Arabidopsis thaliana: one gene and its partners. The protein of the gene in region 4 interacts with the protein of the main gene of each other region in a biochemical or structural test. Each region holds a gene or a part of one and is shown on either strand. Other genes may lie near its edges.

Region 1 (6,139 bases), on a different chromosome or scaffold from region 4:
TCTAATATCTTCAACTATGTTGTAAGCATCTCTCTTTTTGCCTATTTTGTTGGTCAATCTCAACAAGCCTCGTCTTAGTGATCTTTCTTCAAGTTTCAAGAAATAGGTGTCCAAAACATCCTCGATATCATAGGCGATATCTAAAACCAGTTTTGTCCACTCTTTCGAGACCTCATCTTCTCTTTCTCGAGCTTCAACATCCTTAAGATAACCATGGATGCACGTCAACTCCGTCTTCAGCTCCTCTAGATCATCTTTGACTCCCATCAACGCCAATACTTCATTGATGAGATAGCCGCCGATCTTATTCAAAACGAAACCAGTGACAGCATCTACCATCTCAACAGAATCAAATTGAAAGATTTCAAAATATGGAGAAGATTGAAGATATGCTTTGTTTCCTAATGTCAACAATTTCAAGTTTTCGAAAGCCTCTGACACTTGACTTTGTAGATGTTTGGTGTTGACATTTGATTAAATTCTATTGCACTATCCCTTATTCGTTATTTTTAAAAGAGAACTCAGATGCAGACAGACGTGTTACCAATATAAATTTTCATTTGTCAACTATTCATACGATTTTTTGAAACTTGAAAGTTTCAAAATTTTCCTACAAAAGTCTAGACATATTACGAAGAACAAACTCTTTCCCGATTCTCAGCACAACTCAGCAACGTCATCAAACACTAACATTAAACAATTATTGAAAAAGAAGTAGAAAAAAAAAAAGAAAACACAAAAGAAAAGGAAAAAAGAGAAAAATAGCAGATCCTCAACAGAGAAAATGAAAAGACTAAGGTGGATAACATGAGCCTGCTTCTCACATTACCTTAATACCTCTCTCCAAATCGGAAGAACAGAGCACCGGTTCCATTGTTGTGATCTACAGCATACTCAGCTCGGACCAAACCGAGTTTCACACCTGCACCATAGGATGAACCCTGACCCGTTCTCCTGTACACTGCTGTAGGGTTTCCCTTCACATCCTTTGAGCTTCCTAAATCATTTCCATGCTCAACAAAAGCGTAGACATGTGTGTTCTTCACGGGTATTCTGATCTCAGCACCGACCTGTAATCCATGAAACCAAATTAGACACACATATTTTTCGGGTTTAGGAGAAAAGACTGTTTTTGTTTTGAGTGTTTGCTGTATTACCTCGGCAATGTTTCTAGCAGCACCGAGCTCTCCCATGTTGTAGCCACGGACAGAGTACGGACCACCGAGGACAAAAGCATCGTAGCTTGGAAGGTCGCCAACGCAGCCTCCGTAATGCCCATGGAGGACTAGAACTGGTGGTGGTGACTTACCAGCCCCTTGTTCTACTTCCCGCAACTGAATGAATTTTGTCATGGTTAACTGGTGGCGGTTGAAGAACGGGAATTTGCTCCCAATACCCAATCCCTGATCAACCTGTGATTTGCAAATACATTGTGTAAAGCTTACAATATACAGATGACTCATCCTTATAATCTCATTTGATCATTGGGAAAGCAAACCTGAAAGACAGTCCTCTGTCCAACAACTGCCCCATTAACAAATTTGGTATTGTCACGGGTGATGTTGGCTTGTAGAAAAGCCATTCGATCGACACCGGTACCACTGAGAGTTGTTGGAGGTCCATCAGCACTGATTCCACCGCTAGGTAGTAGTCTCTGACCATTTGCAGCAATGTGACTGCTTTCATCTCGGGTTGTTATCTCCTCCATCACAAGTCCATATGTAAACTTACTCTGACGGGTGAAGTTCTGCATGAAAATATGTTTCAGTTAAGTGTTTGTAGGACAAAATAAGTCGATTATGGCACTGAGGATTGGCAAGCTTACCTCAGTTATATTAGCTTTCACACCAGCTCGGTCAACCCAAATTGGTGGCACTTCCTCAACACCAGGTCCTCCAGTGAATACTGGGCTAAGTTTGCGGCTGTTGAAGCAGCTTGTTTTGAATGTTCGGTTCCGAGGATTGTAAACACCATCCAGATACGGGTGCACATACTCAAGCTTAAACGAAAGATCATCCTGAGGAAAAAATGTAACATAAGGTTTGTGCTTAGCACATAGAAACAGAAATAGATGGATGTTATCAACCGAAAAGTTGAACCAGAGATGTATCAATCATGTAAGCTTATCGAATGTACCTGAGGATTCAAGAAGTTGCTAGTGGTCACTGAACCCATGAGAGACCTATTAAGACCCTGGAGGTTTCGATGCTCGAAAGTAACAGAACCACCTGGCTGGAATGAAGCCTGATGCATATAAACAATAACAATCAAACTCAATGGAACTTCTCAAATTTTACAATCTGTACTTATTTCAGTAAGGAAGGATTCATACCAATGTGGGAGCTCCTCCACGCCCAGGAACAATACTCCATTCTGTACTGACTTCAGCTGACTTCTGTTCTAGCTCCTTAAGCTTGATCTCAACAATAATGCCCCCTTCATTTTTCTCATCTGGGCGTGGATTGACTTCAATGTTAGAGAACAGCCCCAATGAATTGATGTTACTGAGAGCTTTTTTCCCAGCTTCAATGTTGAAAACATAGCCTTGGCGAAGCTGTTCAACGAAACATCGAAACTATCACTAAAACTAACATAACAAATGAGATATATCATTACATGTCTGGAATATAAAACATTTGTACAATGAGTTCATTGAAGCAATTAAACCTCTTACATCCATCAGACTTAAATAGCAAGTTCAAGTTAAAAGTCTGTCAATTTTTTCCTGACATATCAATCTATAACATAACTACACTTTCGTCATCATCCTATACTAAATCATGATCACATCAACAATGACATATCTGACATAGCAGAACTTGAGAAACATACCTGCTTAGGCAATTCCCTGCGCACCACAGGAACTTGAGTATTTCCTTCAACCACATTACCAAGCTTATCTTGAAACTGAATAACTAGCTGAGTTATATCACCTTCCACAACTTCACAAACAACCTCCTTAGTATTCAAATTCCCAAAATTCACAACTTGAGCACAAGCATACCCTTCATCATGATACCATTTCTGAACACGGTCCCTAATCCTCTGCAACAGCCTAGCACTCACTTTCCCTTGATCCCTCAACATCTGCATAACCTCACCATACACAGGTGCAGGCAACAAACAAGGCCGTGCCCTATCAATTCTCCTCTTGTAATCCTTCTCCAAACTCCTGTAATACTCAAGCTTCTCTTTATCAGTCATATCTGAATCCATCTCAATAGGTTTCGACTGTACCATTAACCCAACGTTAATACATCTAAACCTATCAGCAGATTGCCATGTACTCTCAGCAAACGAGATTGTAACACCTAGGGTTCCATCAGGTTTCGTTTTCCCTTCCAAATCAACTTTCTCAAACATTCCACAAGTAGCTAGGGTTTCAAGCTCCTTCTGCAATTGAGCTTTAGTGTAAACTCCACCAGGACGAATCGAGACCATCTCGAAGAAGGAATCTTCAGTACCAATAGTGGTTTGTCTCCGTCGATCAAAGAACATAATATCAGATACCTTATACTTCTTGAAACCACTAAGCTTGTTCAATTGCACAACGATATTCGCCGGTAAACCATGAGAATCCCAATCCGGTGATTGTTCTTCATCAGCAACCGCTGGTGAAGGAGAAAACAATTTCCCCCAAAATCCACCATCATTTCCATCTCCACCACCACCTCCACCACCAAATCCACCGAAATTCCCATCTCCTCCTCCTCCACCACCGGTCAGAACCGACGGAAGATTCGAGATTCGGAACAGAAAGAATGAAGCAGCGGAGGAGACTGAGGCTACGGCTAGAGGTTTAGCTAGGTTTTTAAGGAGAGAATCCTTTGAGGAAGTCTCTGTATCTCGGTTAGGTAAGCTTTTGCTGCATTTTATCGATGGGACACGAGGAGATTGAGTGGAGATGCGAGGGAGACGAGACGAGGAAGGAGAGAGAAATTTCCGACGGGAAGAGAGAGAGGTGGAAGCAGTGGAGCTTGTTGCCGTCGGGATAAGCTGCCCGTTGACGGAGAAGGCGGCCATGGGCGGAGAAGATAAGGTTTCAGAGAGAAGAAGAAGCAAGTGAAGATTTTTGGCTTCGGCGAAAAAATGTACTTTTGGGTTTTAAGCAGGTAGAGAGACTTTCCTTTTAGACTACATTACGTTTTGTTTATTTAACATAGAACTGCGTGACGTTTACTTTAGTTAGAAACAGCACGCAGTTTCAGTGAGACAAATGAGTAAACTTCTGACTAGGTTCTTGAAAAATGTTTAGTCTGTGATAATTCTGTAACTTATGCATTTTATCCAGACAAATGTGTTCTTACATTTTTCTCACATAGTCTTAATATTTTGGTCATTAAAGTTCAGAGACAAGTTTTGCTTAAGTTCTTTAAACAGTGTATTTGTTATTTATGGTTCCAGTTTTTCTCTAGAAAACTCTACAAATGTGAGTCCTATAATTCAGCTTCAAACGTCAATTTCTCAGGCCAAGACTTTGTCTTCCCTTCATGCTTCTCCAATAAGAGACCATGACTATTTTAAGCATTTTTTTTTCTTATGGTTTGTCCAAGAACCTCGGAGAAACAAGACGACATGCACAGTTTTTCTTGTCTTATATCTATCTTATGTTGTTCTCAGAGGATCAGAGTTCCTAAACAGAACATCTACAAGAACTTTGTGTTTCTGAAATGTCGCGTCAACTAGACCCCGTCGCTGAGCTCGAAAGCTTAAAAACACATGTTGATCATTCTGGAAATCCTAGCTTCTCAACACTTAGCCAGCGTCACCAATGTAAGTCTCTCCAAGAAATGATAATATCCATTTTGTTTACTCTCAGTGATTTGATGATTTTGGACGCAAACTCTTGGTTTGAAATCTGTTTGTCATACTTTTTTTCAGCTGGTGAAGCTTCAAAGCGGTCACCTTCTGGTTCACCAAGAAAAGAAAATGATGGAGAACATTCTCACCATAAGAAATCTTTGTTCTCTAAAATGAAGGATAAGGCGAAAAAACTGCAGCACAGTCTCAGCACCAAGAAGAGACATGATGAAGAAGGTGATGCAACCATGTCACCGTTTTGCAGATCCGAAGATCATGAAGTTAGAGAAGTTGGTTATGCGTCATTGTCACCACGTGACAAGTCAAAAGACCGTAAAGTCAGAGAAGAAGGAGGAGAAGAAGAAGAAGAAGATCCTGAATATCTTGGAGCCCCAAGTAAATGAAATTGAACAAAGCTTCATAAGTAACAACCACCCTTTTAGGAATTTGCTTAAAACTGATCGATCTTCTTGTGTTATTTTCAGTGTATGAATCAAAGAAGGCACCTGAAGAGTTAAAGGAGACAGCAAGGCAGCATCCCCGAGAGAATCCTGTGATCACTGAGACAAATGTCTTGTCTGTTCTCCCAGCCAAACAGGACGCTGAACAAGAACAAAAAGATTGTAATGGTTCCAAAACAGAACATCCTGTGATCTCTGAGAAGAATGTTTTATCTGATGTCAAGCAAGAGAAGCCTGCTGATTCTGACACAACAACAATAGTAACAGAATCGTCTGAGAAGACAAGGAAAGAGTGCACGAGCCAGCAGGAACCTATTAGTCCAAGCAAGACAGTAACAGAAACTGTGACAGAGAAGCTAGCACCTGGTTATGCTAAAGTCTCTGACGCAACTCAAGCTATAACTAAGAAGATTCAAGATATGGCTTTTCCAGAACCAACAGAGCGAGAAGAAGAGGTAAATGATGTTGCAGAAATCAACACTGCCGGAACTAACCAGCCCACTGGCTTCAATACCAAGGTACGACAAAGTTCTCTATCTGTTTGTGCATTTAGGTAAATACATCAGTCAATCATCTTGTGTTTGTAACCAGGTATGGGACAAAGGCGTATCAATGAAGGAATACATATCGCAGAAGTTTGAGCCTAGCGAAGACGATAGAGAACTTTCTCGAGTGATATCTAAAGCTATCAGTCCTCGTAAAGGTTCTTCTCAGACTTCTAGTTTTGGTGCAGCCACAAACATGGCACCTGCTTCAAATTCAGCAGACAACAAAGCTCCTCTTGTAGCCAACACAAATGAAAGTGAGTTCCTCTTTTATTCCTCAACTATTAACAATTTGACACACCTGCAATTGTATTCTGATGCATTTGATTCTGC
Region 2 (3,364 bases), on a different chromosome or scaffold from region 4:
ACTTAACTTGCAAATCCAAAGTTAAGCTTTCCATAGCTTTGTTGCTTTTCTCTTATTTTCTTCTTCTTCTTACAGTTTTTTCCTGTCTGAGTTTGTCATTGGCTTCCTTAGTCGATTTTCAGCAGATCATCAAGAGCTCTAGCTTTATCTTTCTTAAGCATTGCTACTTCCATATTACCTCTCCTAAAACCCTCCTGAATCTGATTCAGTTGAGCAGGTACCTCAAAATTCCTTCACTGTTATTACACGTTCTGAAAAATGCCAAAAACAATATGATGATCAATCAATTAACTAAATTGGCCAGACTAGTTCACATTGGTGTTGGCCAAAGCGATTTCCTACAAAGAGTCTCCATCAAACAAGATGAACCACAATGTCAAAATCAAACAATGAATAAAGATATCTCCAGATACATGCTTAAGAGTTAAACAACTAGCCAAACAGTTTAGCCTTAATTTTCAATGAAATTCATGATCCATCTCAATTTCGATCTCTAGTTATAAATAGTTAAACAACTATCCAAACAATAAGATCCTGAATAGTTAAAACAACTATCCAAACAATAAGATCCATCTCAGTTTCGAGCTCTAATTATCAATAACTAGATCCTGAGCTTCTAGATGAAAATAGGTATTTCTATTATAATCCAAATACACACATTTCTCCACCATACATTTACTTGTCACACAAGTTACTAGCTTCCATTGATTATTAGTTTAAAACTACAATCAAACGAAGAACCATAATCATCAGAGACACACACACACAAAGTCAAGACCCAGAGAGAACTCAAATCAAGCTAAATTGGCTTAGCCAGAGATATCAATAGACTTAACTTGAGCCTTCTTCTTATTAGTCTCCACTTTAGGCACAGTCACAGTCAAAACACCATTCTCCATTGAAGCTTTAACTTGATCCATCTTCACATTCTCCGGTAACCTAAACTTCCTCGAGAATCCCCCACTCGATCTCTCTACACGATGCCACGTGTCCTGCTTCTCCTCTTTCTCAACGTGTCTCTCTCCGCTGATCTTAAGCACACTATCATCCTCAATCTCTACTTTAACCTCTTCTTTCTTCATCCCCGGTAAATCCGCCTTGAACACGTGCGCCTCCGCCGTCTCTTTCCAATCCACACGTGCGTTTGCTATCGCCGACGAAGACGATGACGGGAATTGAAGTTCCTTGAATGGATCCCATACGTCGAGTGAGAATGGATCGAATATGTTGTTGTTGATTCGCCTGTTGTTGCCGAAGAAGCTTGGAATCAGCGACATTTTCTCGGTTGATTTCGAAATCTGAACAATTTTCCGACGAATTGAATTTCGAATTTATGATGAAAGCTGGTGAGTTTGCTGATTCTATTTATTGATGAAGAAGAAATCTCCAGAGCTTCTAGAAATGAGGCAAATCCAGAAAAGTCTAGAAGCGTTCCAAGTTGTGTGTTTATGGGCCATAATGGGCTCTAAAGGCCCAATATTTAAATATGAGCCGTGTAAAGAGTTTTAATCAGTTGCTAAATATTTTTGTTTTTCCATAAAGGTTATTCAAACACAAACATGTTTCCCATAAACGTTGTGCGGGTTTTTTCCTAAGAGAAAACATGATTACTACCATTACATGCAGTCCTCTCTGAAAATAGAGAACTATTCTTTGTCTTGGATGTACTCATAAATATTTTAAATTAAGAACTTATCAATGCAATCTTTTGTTGAGAAAAGTATGATTCGAAGATTTAGTTTGTTATTAGATATATAGATGTTAAATAACAGTATATATGTCATCCTAATATTGAGAAAAATAGAAAGAATAGTTCATTTCACGTTTGGTTACGCGTTAAGAAACCGTGTTTGCTTGACTTGCTCATTAGCTCATGTGTAACATTGTGGTTGTGGATATAGTTTCCTTCTTTTAATTATAATCAGGATTGAAATAAAAGAAAATCTTACGGAATCTAGTTTTTTTTCCTTTTTGCTTGTATATTCTTGGTTCTTCTTCTAAGTGGCCACCAAGTTACACAAATATTTTATTATCTTCCTGACTTTGAATACCTTATTATACACGAGTCTCTGATACTTACTTCAAAGTCCTAACAATTTCCCATTACTACATAGAGGATTTACTTAACTATTCCTTGCGTACGTTAGAATCCTTGTTGGTATATTGAATCTGTTTTGATGTACAAAGACGTTCATAAAACGAGAAACAAGTAAGATAATATTTTGACCAACAAAAAAAAATTGTAAGATAATACTAAATTTGACATATTCGATGTTTAGAAACAAAAAAAGGACATAGTCTTACGAAAACTAGAAATTTTGGATATAAACTAATAGTAAATGTAAATTTTGTGGCAGGTAGTGAAATATGACAAGTTTAAAAGGCAAGCCAAAGACGAGTCTTGTTTAAAAAGGCCAAGTACCAACCGTAGTAGAGTCATCTTCATAGCCTTTTTTCTGCCGCCAAATCTTAGTTTCTCCACAAAGCTTTTTCTTCTCTCCTTCCATGGCGGATCTCTGAAAAAGTCTCCGGACATTTTCACAATGCCTTCCGTTCAAATCCGTTCTTCTCCGTCTCATTCACAGCCGGCTATGACGGTTACTGATCTCAAGCAACGAGTCATCGCTTGTCTCAATCGTCTCTCTGATCGCGATACTCTTGCTCTCGCTGCCGCAGAGCTTGATTCAATCGCTCTTAATCTCTCACCGGAGACTTTCTCTTTATTTATTAACTGTCTTCAGAGTACAGACTCTTCCGCAAAATCTCCGGTGAGGAAACATTGCGTTTCGCTTCTCTCTGTTCTTTCTCGTTCTCATGGCGATTCTCTCGCTCCTCACCTCTCGAAGATGGTCTCCACCGTTCTCCGCCGCCTCCGTGATCCTGATTCCTCCGTCCGTGCCGCTTGTGTTGCCGCTTCCGTTGATATGACTACCAACATCACCGGACAGCCTTTCTCCATCCTTTTCGGACCAATGATCGAAACGGTTATCCACGATTGCGATCCCAATGCGCAGATCAGCGCTGCTATGTGCCTTGCTGCGGCGGTAGACGCAGCAGATGAGCCGGATGTTGAGCAACTGCAGAAGGCCCTGCCGAAGATTGGGAAGTTGCTTAAATCGGAAGGTTTCAAGGCGAAAGCGGAACTTCTTGGAGCCATAGGAACCGTAATCGGCGCTGTTGGCGGTCGAAACAGCGAAAAGGCGGTGCTAGACTGGCTTTTACCAAACGTCTCGGAGTTTCTAAGCAGCGACGATTGGCGTGCGAGGAAAGCTGCTGCGGAGGCAATGGCTAGAGTGGCTATGGTAGAAGAAGAATTAGCTCCACTGTATAAGAAGACATGTCTAGGTATTCTTGAGAGCAGACG
Region 3 (7,624 bases), about 16 Mb from region 4:
GCGGCTTTCTCATTGCCCAATTTCTCAGTACTTTCTTTCTGTTGTATCCTCTGTTTTCTTTCAGTTATGTGAGTGTGTGTGTATGCTCTTGAGAGTATCTTTGGCAAAAACTATTTATCTAATCTTCAAGCTATTCTAAAATAAATCAATTAGTTAACTAATGCAAAGATTGCGATGTCTTAACTATGGAGATACTGACTAGTGAGAATAGTATGTAAGGACTTTAGTCTGGTGGAAATCTTACTTTGGAACGTTTCTCCTGGCGAAAGAAGTTGACTTAAGAAGACTTTGAACGTTCTTATCCTTAAAGTTTCCTTGCTTTGTCATGTCTGAAAATGACAAGTAAAATATAGACGTAAGCTTCAAATCAGACAAAACAAAACACATCAGATTTCTGGACCTATTCACCTCTCTATAAATAACAGAAACGGTTAGAGCAGCAAGTTTGTGTTTTTCACCATCAATTTTGTACCTTGACCGCCGTAAACGCAGGGTGAAGAAAGTCCACCTAGTGTTTATCTCCAACTGTTTGCTCGTCTCATTACTCTGATGACTTTGTGGCTACCCAAAGAATTGCGAGTAAAGCCAGCCATATATTTGCAGACTCTGGTCATCCTTTAAGTTAGAGGCTTTGCTACATCAAATATTCACATAAACCATAAAGATTAAGTCCACCAAGAAATATCCTTTATTCGGAGTTTTGTCTGCTAGTATCATCAAGTTTACTTCACCACGATACTCCAATAGTTTCCAGATATTATATAAGAATGAAAATCTATTACAAAGCATTTTTATAAAAAACATACCATTGCCTTCAAGGGACCAAGGAAGAACAGTAAGATCCTGGTGAAGAACACAATGAGATGAGGGTTCTAGTACAAAATCTTATCAACAGTTACAGGCTACGCACCTGCTTTAAAGATTCTTCACCGAGTGATTTGTATCTTCTGCAGAAATTTAGTAACAAATTAGCAAACTCAAACCAAGCAACATCATTAGCATGAGACGTAGACCAAAAGAAGACTGAACTAGATTCCATTATCTGAAGAACAGCAAGAGAAGCTGAGAAGGGCTAATGAAAGTGAAGAATTACTGATACATGATAAATTAAATCCGATGGGAACCTCTCAACAGAACCAAAATACAACTTTGATAAACTTCAACAAAGTTTTTATTAAAGTGGGGGAAAAACATGAACTAAAAACCAGTAATAAAAGAAAAGATCATTCTGCAGCATTCATCAGCATATTTAGTACATGCTGTACTTGTCGTTCGTCGCTTCGGGTCGAATGCTCTTGTAGATGGACATGGCAATTGGAAGAATGGCTGTGAGAGCGATTTGCAACTGATCCGAGCTGCTGGTTCTGACTGTGATCTGTCCGCTCATCTTGTTGTTAAGTCCTGCACGAAGCGCAATCTTTGAGTTCCTTCCAACAGAGACTTGAGATTGGAGATTGGCTCCAAGGGCTAAATCGCCTCTCCACTTTACCAGAGACAGCCCAAAAGAAGATTGGTCCTGTCCAATTGGGAAATCAGCTTCCCTAAGCCTGACCTCGAGGTTCGCACCATAGGCCGAATCTCCCTGTGATCGCATTGTCCCAGTGCTGCCCACAAGCACCAACCTTTTCCCCAGTGCTATTTGGTCCTCGAGTTTGACCCCAGTGGCGATGTTCTCTCCCAAGAATGTCACTGACCCTCCAACAGTTGTCTTGTTCTTCCTCAAATTCTTGAATTTGGTTTCTCCTCTGACCACATATGCCAGCTGCTTGCCTACATTCTGAATATCGAACCCTGCCATGGTGGATCCATTCTCCCCGTGCTTAGCAGACACAGAGGAGTCCAGATGAATGTTGAACTCTTTCTTGTCCTTGGTGACTTGGACAGTAGCTGTGGCAGGGAACCGGCTAGCTAGAGCAAGACTGTGTTCTGCATTGACGCCGTCATATCCACAGTCATGGTCCCAACCATGGGTATCCAACACTGGCCTGGTTAGGAGTTGTGAAGTGGGTTCCAGATATCGGTATCGGTAAGCTGAGTTATCACTATCAAATGAAGGTGGCAAAACCATATCGGGTAATGGAACTGGCACTGCAGCTGGAGCCCCGTTTTCTGGATCATCTTCTTCTCCCGGATAACCAAACTCACTTTCACCCAGCTTCTTCCCGTTTTTCTTCATTTCTTTCATCCTCTTTAATTCCTCTCTCCATTGCTTCTTCTGCAGGAGCTTTACACGGTAATCATACTCCTCGAAATATGCCTTTCTCTGTTCATTTGAGAGCTTTGCAAGTTGGGTTTTTCGAAGAGGCTTAAATGGTGGCAGCTGGTCATACTCATCATCTTCCCCATCTTCCTGCTCAGAATCAGACACATCATCAATTTCGATATCAGAGTCAACACTATCACCACCTTGGTCTCCAGGGAGCTTAGGATGTGCACGGGACTGCAACAGCCAAGACAACAAGTAAGGGAGAGGCGGGGATCTAACTCGGAAACCAAATACTTTACGATGGTCCAATGGTTCTTGAGGCCTCAATAGAGAATTTGTTTCTGACAAAACCTTCAGGGAGTAACACAATAGCAACAGCTGAGATCTCCAAGTTTGGCCATTCGGGAGAACCTTCACTCCCTCCCGGTTCTTCCTACACAAGGGGTGATTCTCAACAAGTGAAACTGGATTCATCAGACTTGGATTCATCAAGCGTAGATCTCCAACAGCCTGTCCTATAGACTGTTGCACAATATGTGAGCACTGCGCTACAAACACATCATAGCTCAATGGGGTGCCAGATGGGCCATCAGGAGGGGCAGAAGCCGCATGGGTCAATGTCACTATAGCGTTTTTCCATATGGATGTACCAAGAGAAGCAGTAATCGTCCTTAGCAAGGGCAAATTGTTCAAGTCCCTGGTCTGGGTGTCAAGACGATCTACATATAGTACAATATCAGGGGGACACTTCTTCATTACCTTCTTTACAGAGGACAACATTTTTGCATTTGTACTTTGATCCATCGCAGCAGACTTCAAACCCGGAGTATCAATAAAGGTAATCTTGACACCATTCACCGTTCCAGAAATTTCTCTAACCGAAGTGGTTGAGAGCCCAAAAGCATCAATGGACGCAATCTGGTTTCCCAAAATGGAATTTATAGTAGCACTTTTTCCCACCCCGGCTTTTCCAAGGACCAGTATGTTTAGGGAGAAGATCAATTCTTCGTTGCCCTCAGCCTCAGACTCCACAGCCTTCTTCTTTGCAGCATCAAGACTGAATAACTGCCCTGCTTGTCTCCCAGCAAGTAGTGCAAGACGGTAAAGAACCTGCGCTGCAATTGAATCTTCTGCCGAATGACCCAACCTTTGCAAAAGCCGCAAAAACTTCACACGGAGGCTTTGCAACTTTTCTAATTTCTGTTTCTCTTCCTCGCTCAAGTTAATCTCAGTCTCATCTGCCATTGTGACATTAGAATTGGAAAAGATGTTGGAACGGTTTGCACGTGGAGCTGCTGCAGGCTTCAAGGGCCTTAACGATGAACTCAAACCAGCAGGTCGATCCATAGAGAAAAGCTTCGTGCCATCCTGAGATGTTATGGTAAAATTGCCACCTTCTGAACTTCCACCACCAGTGGCTGCCTTCAAAAGCGCAGCCAAAGCTGCAGTATCAAACATTTTCTCCTCACCTTCATCCTCTGTGTCTACATCCTCGTCAGAATCGGTGACAATCTGGCCATCAATCCTATCTGACATATTGTTAGAAATGTTTGCTTCATCAGAATGTGCCTCTATACCAGAAGAAGCCTTTTCCAACTCTGCTAAGAACTGTTTTGCAGCTTCAGAACTCCCAAATATCATCTCTTCAGTTTCTTCTTCACTTTCAGACCCATCAACCCTGGTAACACCTTCGCCAGAAGGTTCCTGGTCCACTTCCTTGCCTCCAAAGCTAAACTCACGAGAAGAAACAATGTCTTCGACTGGGAGCTTGTTTTCATCCTCTTCAGCACTGTCCCCTTCGACAACTTTCCGAACCTCAAACTGTGACTCAGCTGCAGGAATTGAATCCTCTTCTGCATCAACTGAACCCACTTTTAAACTTTCAGAAACAGGCAATTCTTCTACTTCCACACCTACTTTTGGTTCGTCTGGCTCTACTTTGGCAGCCTCTGATATTTCCTTAACAGCCAATTCAAAATTTCCATCATATGCAGCAGTCAGGTCATCAGGTTCCTCAATATTTGAGATGGTCTTGTCAACCTCATCATCTTTATCATCTTCCTTAATTACAGCCTCCTTAGCCGCCCCGACAACCACAACCCCTGGCTCTGCAACATTGATATCAGCATCAACAGAGTCCACCACAGAGGAGTCAACCATAGAGTCTCCTTCACTAACCAACTTTCCTCCTCCCTCCTCTGTGGCTTTATCGGATTCAAGTTCAACTTCACCACCTTCACCTTGGCCAATTGGATCAAACTTATTATGCACATCAGGGATGTTGCCATCAGTTTCCAGCACCTCACTCACCTCTACGTCTCCAACAACAACAACCCCTGGCTTTGCCACATCTACATTCACAGCTTCAATAGCAGATGAGTCCACCACAAAGTCTCCTTTGTTGTTTAACTTAACACCTTCTTCTGCATCATCGACTATGCCACCGAGCACACTCTCCTCCTCTTTGGTTCCATTGTCAGCTACTGCACTAGCTGCCTTGATTACTTCAGCATAAGTCATACCCTTCTCCAATCCGTTGGCTTTTTCCACATCCTTTGGTTCACTCCCACTCTCGGCAGCTACAACCTCTGGCTCTACAGCACTGGTATCCACAGATTCTAACTTAGAGGAGTCTGCAATAGAGTCTGATTCGCTAGTAAATTTTTCTTCTACCTCCTCAATGGCCTTGTCAGACACAGGTTCAAATTCACCACTATCATCATCCCCAATTTGATCAAACTTATTAGCCACTTCAAGAGTTTCAGCATCAGCATTAATCTTCAACTCCTCACTTCCCTCTGCGTCTCCTACAACAACCACCCCTGGTTTTGCCACATCAACATGCACTGATTCTACAGGGGACGAGTTCACAATGACGTCTCCTTTATCAGTTAACTCCACACCCTCTTCTTCAATAACATTATCACTTTTATCGTCAACATCAACTTTTCCACCCAACTCACTCTCCCCCTCATCATCTTTTTTTGTTCCAACATCTTCTTCTTCCACATCCTTCACTTTACTCTCACTCTCCCCATCTGTGGAAGCCTGTTTCACATCAACATCAACACTCCCATTTTCAATCTTACTCTCACCATCGTCTTTAATATCCTCCACGTCCTCCTTAACCTTCTTATTCTCCTCCACAACCCCTACACCATCAGAAACAGCCTCCGGCTTCGGAGATAACGATGAAACATCATCTACACCAATTGTCTCACCAGAAACCACCTCAGGCTTCGGAGTAGCCTCAGGAGTAGTAGAATCCTCCTTTAAAGAACCATCCACCTCGTCGGAAACCTTCCCATCACCCACCAAATTCGGCTTCTCCTTCTCGGAGTCAGATAAATCATCAGCTCCAACCTTATCCGAATTACCAGACACAGCCTCCGATGAGGAATCCAACTCCTTGGCACTACTCACAGCACCACCATCCTCCTTATCGGCGGCTGCAGCAGCAGCGGCGGCGACAACAGAAGCATAGGTTTTTCCTGATAACAAAATATCCTTCCGATTAAAACCCTATTCCCAAAAACGCAGATTAAAGAAGATATAAACGAGAAAGAAGAAAAACCTGATTGCCCCGAAGAAGCGTAGAAGGGGTTGGTTGGTTCTGGAGTAACCGACTTTGAGTCCATTTCCGCTTTGCTACTGAGACTCTTTCTCCGCCAAACTTGTGGAGGAAGGAGATAGCGATAGATAGATAGGGTTTAAAGGAATTTACCCTTTTTTGTGTGAAGGTTTTTATGATTGAGAATTTGGCTGCTCTCTCTCTTTTGAAGAAGAGAGAATTGGGAGAGATAAGGTCACTCGGCGAACAAAAAATGACTCTTCGTTTTTCTTCTTTGCCTTGGGATTTTATCTTCTCAGTTTGTGTTTTGAGGATGATGATGAAATTACCGAATTACCCTCGCTTCTATGTTGGTGAAGTTTCCAAGAGGGCTCTCTTTTGTGCTACGCTTTAAACTGTGTCGCTTCATTGGCTCAAGCCAAAATATATAGAGTTTCTTTTTTTATTTGAGGAAGAAGTACAATAATCATTTGTGGTTAAAATTTGAAAAACATTGTATCATTTTAAAAAACAGTAATTTTTTTGTCAAGAATTTTCAATTTTTGTTGAGTAAATTTAGAATATTTTAGTCACTTTTTGGAAAGTATTTACTGTTTAATATTTTGTTTTTATTATGCACAATTCTCCAAATGTTAAAATCTTCCCCAATGGAAAATGTTTTGATGGGCTCACTAAATCTAGGGTTTTTGAACTCATGAGAATTAGGGTTTTGTTATATCTTCTCTTTACTAAAAACCAAAAAAACCACACAACAACAAAATAAAATAAAACATTTAAAATAAAAAACGAGATAACATTTTGAGATTTGGGTTTTATAAAGAAGAAAGAAATCTTTTTTGTATCTTTGTTGATCCTCCCTACCCGAAATTGCTTGGCCACAAACGATTTTCTCACCATTATCTACGAATTATCTTGGATTTTTGTATAACACGGATTCCATATATTAGGCCGTGATTTTAGTTTTCAGATGGGCTTTTATAAGGCCTCCCCCTAATAATAGCCCGTATACATGATTTTATTATCAATTAAAGACATTCAGATTTCAGATACAACAACCCATACTGCAAAAGAATCTGACCACATGCCAAATTTTGTTTTTCGAATTAAACTCCTAAACTACACAAAACTTGTGAATATGATCTCAGAACTATACTAACTCAATGTGATTTTTTCACATTTTGCATACTAAAAGTAAATAATTAGTTGAATGTGAAATCAGGTTAAAAAAAAGTTCTTGAATTAACACAGATTATTGATCCATGAAGCTACAAAATCTCAAGTTCTAATGGATTACAAAGAACAAAAAGGAAGAAAAACAACATTTTGATTTCGTAATAGAACTCTAGACGTAGAGACAAAGTAAAACCAAAGAATTAACTGATGTCTCTGCACAATACTTTATCATCCATCTTAGTACAACAACAAGCAAAGACACAAGACATAAATATAGCGAGAAACATAACACAAATCCTAAACGCAAAACCGATTCAAACTTGATTGGTTTGTACCTTAACCGCCTTAAACGCCGGATGAAGCAACCCGAGCTCGTCTTTCATCTCCAACGGATTGCTAGTCTCGTTCCGCACTCTCTTGACTTTACGACTAGCCAAAGATTTGTGAGTGAAACCATAGATTTGCAGAATCTGGTTATCTCCAAAGTTAAAGGCTCTGTCCATTTGTTTTAGACACCGTTCCACCGGGTAATCACCAAATTTCCCACACGGTTTGCAACCGACAAAGTGAGTCACCAATGGCCATCTGTGATCTCCTAGACCCGGGTGGTAGTTTTCTATCATTTCTTCATATCTGTCCACAAGAATCCCCCAGTAACCGTGAAGATAGTATCC
Region 4 (4,558 bases):
AGAAGGAGCATAGTATCCACCGACAAGTCCAGAAGCCCGACACCATGCGGTTGCAGCTATCTTGACCGCTACCAGCTGAAGCAAAAGATCAGCTGAAAGACCCTTCACAAATGGACGTTTCTCCAACAAAATATCCACATTCTGAAAACCCCAGTATAATACTTCAGGGTATACCAAAGCTATGATACCAACACTTAATCCACCCATTACAGGAAATACAGCCTTTGGTATCCCAGCATCCTTGTTAAGACTGTCAACAGCAGATGTCATGGATGATGTACATCGAGATAATGCCAACGAGACCAAGCCACACAGAGCGCCCAATAAAAGATAGAGTGGAAGTTCTGAAAATCAGTGACCAGCTCTCATAAGTTTGGTTTCTGGTTCCCTTGCGTAAAAAGCATAAGAATGGCAATGCATATTACCTCCAGGAGAGCGGAAGTCATAGTCAGGAACCTTAAACGCAGGTTCAGAGCCGAGACCGATTTCGGAAACCACAGAAGCAGTAACAGCACTAAGAATAACCATAGAAGTTGTGTTTGGAAGTGAAGTTGATGAATCAGTTGATGAAGAAGGCCACAAAACGGATTCAACTGCAAAGAAGCATCCAGCCACAGCTGCATTGAACCCTGTAACAACATATAACAAAGTCCTCTTAACGAATCAATCAAGAGTTCCATACGCAAGAGAGAACAACATTAGCAAATATCAGATGAACAAACCAGAGGAAATGCCAGCAGCTGAGCCAGCGGCAAGAAGTGAGAAGCCAGTCTGAGGACTTTTATTGAACAGAGAATTCACACCTTTAGCGATTGACGCTCCAATTTCAACACTTGGACCTTCCGGCCCCAGCGAATTTCCAGTCCCAAGCGTCACACATGCGGCAACAGTCTTAAGGAAAGGACGCAACACTGCCTTTACGCGATCGAGACTAGAATGAGAATCTCCAGTAGATTTTCCAGCAGATTCTCGAAGCTGATTGAGGATGCTCACCACCAAACCGCCGATAGTCGGAACAAGGATAACACGCAACCAATTGGAACCGATCGGTGCCTCTCTAAGCCACGAAGCTCCACGATCAGGAATCCCATCCCAGGAAAAGTCTCGAAGCAAGTGAACACAGTTGTTGAATAGAACCACACTAACTCCAGTGAGAACACCAACCAAACAAGCCGACGCTATCGCAAGCTCCTGAGACGGCTGCTGATCAAATCCAACCTCATCCTGATCAGTCTCCTGCTTCGCCGCCGGTAAACGCGGGAAAATTCTACCGCCAATAGCGACGGAACCGAAAAACGGTGAAAGGACGACATTGAACTGAAAAGGAACGTCGGTTTTGTGAATTGGAGCGAATCTCCGGGAAGAGACGGGAGATCGGAGGGCAGCACAGAGTGGAAGCGTGGCTGCCATGAACGGCTGCTTCCGTGAAGTGACGCGTGTTTATCCATTAACGGATAATTTGATCTTAAATCACAAATCTTACGTGGCTGATCTTATTATTCAAACGCATGGGCTTGGGCCTTGAGGTAAACAGGTTTATATGGGCCAATAACAATAAATTTGATTAAAAATAAAAGGCCTCTTAGCTTTAGGTTCAAACTTCAATGGAGAAGCAGTGGCTGTTGTCCCTCGCAGTTGATCTTCTTCTCAATCCAAAATCCAGCTGATAAATAAATAATTTTTCTCTTGTCGTCATATTAAAAAAAAGAAAGATTATCTGTATTTCAAGTTTCATGAGCGTTTGCCACCACAACATTGTCTTTTCGGGTTAATTTCTTCTTCTTCTTCCTTTTCTTACTAAATTCTCTTAGGTAGTTGTCGATTCGATTTCTTTGTCTTCCTCTTCGCTTATTTTCGTTGAATCTCTTGTTTACACCTTTTCCTGAAAACAAAATTGTGTTTTTTGTAGGGTTTTAGTCATACTTAATGGCTTCCAATTCGGAGAAAAATCCTCTTCTTTCAGGTGATTATTTTCTTCTCAGTATACAATCTGATCTGCGATAATGAATCGTTTCTAGTCAGATTTGGTTATTGGTTCATTGTAATTTGTTTACTGTAGATGAGAAACCCAAATCGACGGAGGAGAATAAGAGTTCTAAGCCGGAATCAGCTTCTGGGAGTTCAACTTCATCAGCTATGCCTGGCTTGAATTTCAATGCTTTTGATTTCTCTAATATGGCTAGTATTCTCAACGTAAGTTACCTTTGCTGTTAGCACAATTGAAAAGTTATCTTCTTTGAGTTTTTTTTTAATTGATAATGGTTTTTTTTGTAGGATCCTAGCATCAGAGAAATGGCTGAGCAAATAGCTAAAGATCCTGCGTTTAACCAATTGGCTGAGCAGCTTCAGAGATCTATTCCTAACGCTGGCCAGGAAGGTGGTTTCCCTAACTTTGATCCTCAACAGTATGTCAATACAATGCAACAGGTTATGCATAACCCTGAGTTTAAGACAATGGCCGAGAAACTTGGTACCGCCTTAGTTCAGGTTAGGAATTGATGACTTTTTCCATCTAATCGAGGTGTGGCTTTGAATGAAGCTCTGTGTCTTATCTGATTTTATTTATTTTTTTTGCCTACAGGATCCACAAATGTCTCCTTTTTTGGATGCTTTCTCGAATCCTGAAACAGCAGAACACTTTACTGAGCGTATGGCGCGGATGAAAGAAGATCCAGAGTTGAAACCTATACTAGATGAGATTGATGCTGGTGGTCCTTCTGCCATGATGAAGTGAGTGATACAAACTTCTTTCAATGTTTTTTAGAGAAACTGTAGAGTTTGTTTCTGTTTATGAAGGAAGAATTATTTATTCTGTTTTAGGTACTGGAATGATCCAGAAGTGCTGAAAAAGCTGGGTGAAGCAATGGGTATGCCTGTTGCTGGCTTACCAGACCAGACTGTTTCAGCTGAACCTGAGGTAGCAGAAGAAGGTGAAGAAGAAGAGTCTATTGTTCACCAAACTGCCAGTCTTGGTGATGTTGAGGTTAGACTGCTTCCTACGTTAATATGCTTGACCATGTGAGATTTATCTTGCGTGTTGCTTGAGGAATTAGATGTTCCAAGTTTTGTTTTGTTGAACTCGTTATTGGATTTTTATTCGTTGATTCATTAGGGTTTGAAAGCTGCCTTGGCATCTGGTGGTAACAAAGATGAAGAAGATTCTGAAGGAAGGACAGCATTGCATTTTGCTTGTGGATACGGCGAGGTATGCAATTCTCTTATCAATTCACGGCAATTAAATATTCGGATTTAGATGGTTCTCTTTTTTTCAGTAGCTGTGAAGTTAAGAATCTTTATAATCATTCAATTGGTAGAAAAGTAACCAGTCTACTTACGTCTACGAGTTTCATGACACAATTACTTATAGCAAGTTCAAATATTTGGTGAAAGAGCAATGAGATGGAACTGGCGATTACTTGCATACTAAAGATTTTGCTTATGAATATGGATTGAACTGAGTTTAACCCTGTTGAGCCCTATCAACAGTTGAAATGTGCTCAAGTTCTTATCGATGCTGGAGCAAGTGTTAATGCGGTTGACAAAAACAAGAACACACCTCTGCATTATGCTGCTGGTTACGGGAGGAAAGAGTGTGTAAGCCTTCTCCTGGAGAATGGTGCTGCAGTGTAAGTCTCACAACACAGTACTTATAATGAAACAACTCCATTAAACACTGTTTCAGGACTTTAATTATATGTGCTTTGGTTGATGTGTGTGGTTGCAGCACTCTGCAAAACCTAGACGAGAAGACGCCAATTGATGTAGCGAAGCTCAACAGCCAGCTGGAGGTGGTGAAGCTGCTTGAGAAGGATGCTTTCCTTTGAGCTCTGCTGGTTAAAGGAAAGCTCTAAGCTCATATTGTCTTTGAGGCATTTGTCTTGTGTGTGTCCTGAACCAGTTTCACAGGCTTTTTGTGTACACTTTTTATTAGTTCCTCTCTTCTTCTAAATTTGTCTCTTATGTTGTTTTAAAAGTCAATAAAGAAAGAAATAGCAATCAATGATTTAATTTATGATTATATTCTTTATTTCGTCGACCTCTACAGAATGATTCAATTTGGAAGAATCATTCTGGTTTGGAGGATATGTAAGAAAAACTACTTGATCTCCAAGTTATTCCATTCTTCTGTTACTGTATTGCCCAAATTCCCAAGCTTGACAATATTTACGCAAAGCTCAAAACCCAAAATATTTGAGAATCAAAACAAAATCAAGGGTCTTGTCTTTTTTTTTTTTTTTGGTGTGAATCAAAGGTCTTGTCTTTGCAAGTAAATTCGTTCCTAATGAACTGTGTGAGTCGTTTAAAGTGTTTGATAAGCAAAGCACGAAGCTTTGCACGGCTTGGTGGTGAATCCACTCTCTCTCAACCGCCGTCTCTCGCCTCCGCCGCGTTTTCTTCATCCGCCGTCATGAATGGTCTCGAAACTCACAACACAAGGCTCTGTATCGTAGGAAGTGGCCCAGCGGCACACACGGCGGCGATTTACGCAGCTAGGGCTGAACTTAAACCTCTTCTCTTCGAAGGATGGATGGCTAACGACATCGCTCCCGGTGGTCAA

What was found.
Region 1: the proteins of AKR2 (region 4) and TOC75-III form a complex in vitro, tested with the Arabidopsis thaliana proteins (one study listed by BioGRID).
Region 2: the proteins of AKR2 (region 4) and AT1G59860 form a complex in vitro, tested with the Arabidopsis thaliana proteins (one study listed by BioGRID).
Region 3: the proteins of AKR2 (region 4) and TOC159 form a complex in vitro, tested with the Arabidopsis thaliana proteins (one study listed by BioGRID).

Annotation. Positions count from the first base shown.
Region 1 is NC_003074.8:17,215,274-17,221,412, forward strand, and holds TOC75-III (translocon at the outer envelope membrane of chloroplasts 75-III), read right to left. Parts: upstream 4,139-6,139; 5' UTR 4,024-4,138; coding exon 2,833-4,023; intron 2,555-2,832; coding exon 2,333-2,554; intron 2,245-2,332; coding exon 2,137-2,244; intron 2,018-2,136; coding exon 1,826-2,017; intron 1,748-1,825; coding exon 1,499-1,747; intron 1,413-1,498; coding exon 1,158-1,412; intron 1,071-1,157; coding exon 831-1,070; 3' UTR 540-830; downstream 1-539. Other genes in the region: AT3G46730 (NB-ARC domain-containing disease resistance protein), read right to left, coding at 1-339; AT3G46735 (uncharacterized protein), read left to right, coding at 1-21, 101-206; AT3G46750 (low-temperature-induced protein), read left to right, coding at 4,671-4,773, 4,882-5,196, 5,286-5,779, 5,853-6,063.
Region 2 is NC_003070.9:22,029,387-22,032,750, reverse strand, and holds AT1G59860 (HSP20-like chaperones superfamily protein), read right to left. Parts: upstream 1,409-3,364; 5' UTR 1,278-1,408; coding exon 810-1,277; 3' UTR 501-809; downstream 1-500. Other genes in the region: AT1G59865 (uncharacterized protein), read left to right, coding at 112-217, 305-428; AT1G59850 (ARM repeat superfamily protein), read left to right, coding at 2,544-3,364. UniProt on the Arabidopsis thaliana protein: Possesses chaperone activity.
Region 3 is NC_003075.7:1,102,986-1,110,609, reverse strand, and holds the start of TOC159 (translocon at the outer envelope membrane of chloroplasts 159), read right to left. Parts: upstream 6,045-7,624; 5' UTR 5,845-6,044; coding exon 5,781-5,844; intron 5,698-5,780; coding exon 1,250-5,697; 3' UTR 911-1,249; exon of another isoform or gene 844-910; 3' UTR 807-843; exon of another isoform or gene 635-806; 3' UTR 473-634; intron 330-472; 3' UTR 245-329; exon of another isoform or gene 1-244. Other genes in the region: XT2 (UDP-xylosyltransferase 2), read right to left, coding at 7,265-7,624. UniProt on the Arabidopsis thaliana protein: GTPase involved in protein precursor import into chloroplasts. Seems to recognize chloroplast-destined precursor proteins and regulate their presentation to the translocation channel through GTP hydrolysis. Required for chloroplast biogenesis.
Region 4 is NC_003075.7:16,837,936-16,842,493, forward strand, and holds AKR2 (ankyrin repeat-containing protein 2), read left to right. Parts: upstream 1-1,596; 5' UTR 1,597-1,811; exon of another isoform or gene 1,812-1,909; 5' UTR 1,910-1,926; coding exon 1,927-1,963; intron 1,964-1,992; exon of another isoform or gene 1,993-2,059; coding exon 2,060-2,193; intron 2,194-2,274; coding exon 2,275-2,487; intron 2,488-2,581; coding exon 2,582-2,730; intron 2,731-2,796; coding exon 2,797-2,983; intron 2,984-3,112; coding exon 3,113-3,205; intron 3,206-3,486; coding exon 3,487-3,626; intron 3,627-3,724; coding exon 3,725-3,824; 3' UTR 3,825-4,014; downstream 4,015-4,558. Other genes in the region: CLC-E (chloride channel E), read right to left, coding at 1-344, 426-629, 723-1,410; NTRB (NADPH-dependent thioredoxin reductase B), read left to right, coding at 4,283-4,558. UniProt on the Arabidopsis thaliana protein: Exhibits chaperone activity toward chloroplast outer envelope membrane, mitochondrion outer membrane, endoplasmic reticulum membrane and peroxisomal proteins, by recruiting specific proteins containing a single transmembrane associated with an AKR2A-binding sequence (ABS) and subsequently binding glycolipids (e.g. monogalactosyldiacylglycerol (MGDG) and phosphatidylglycerol (PG)) present in the membrane of the target organelle.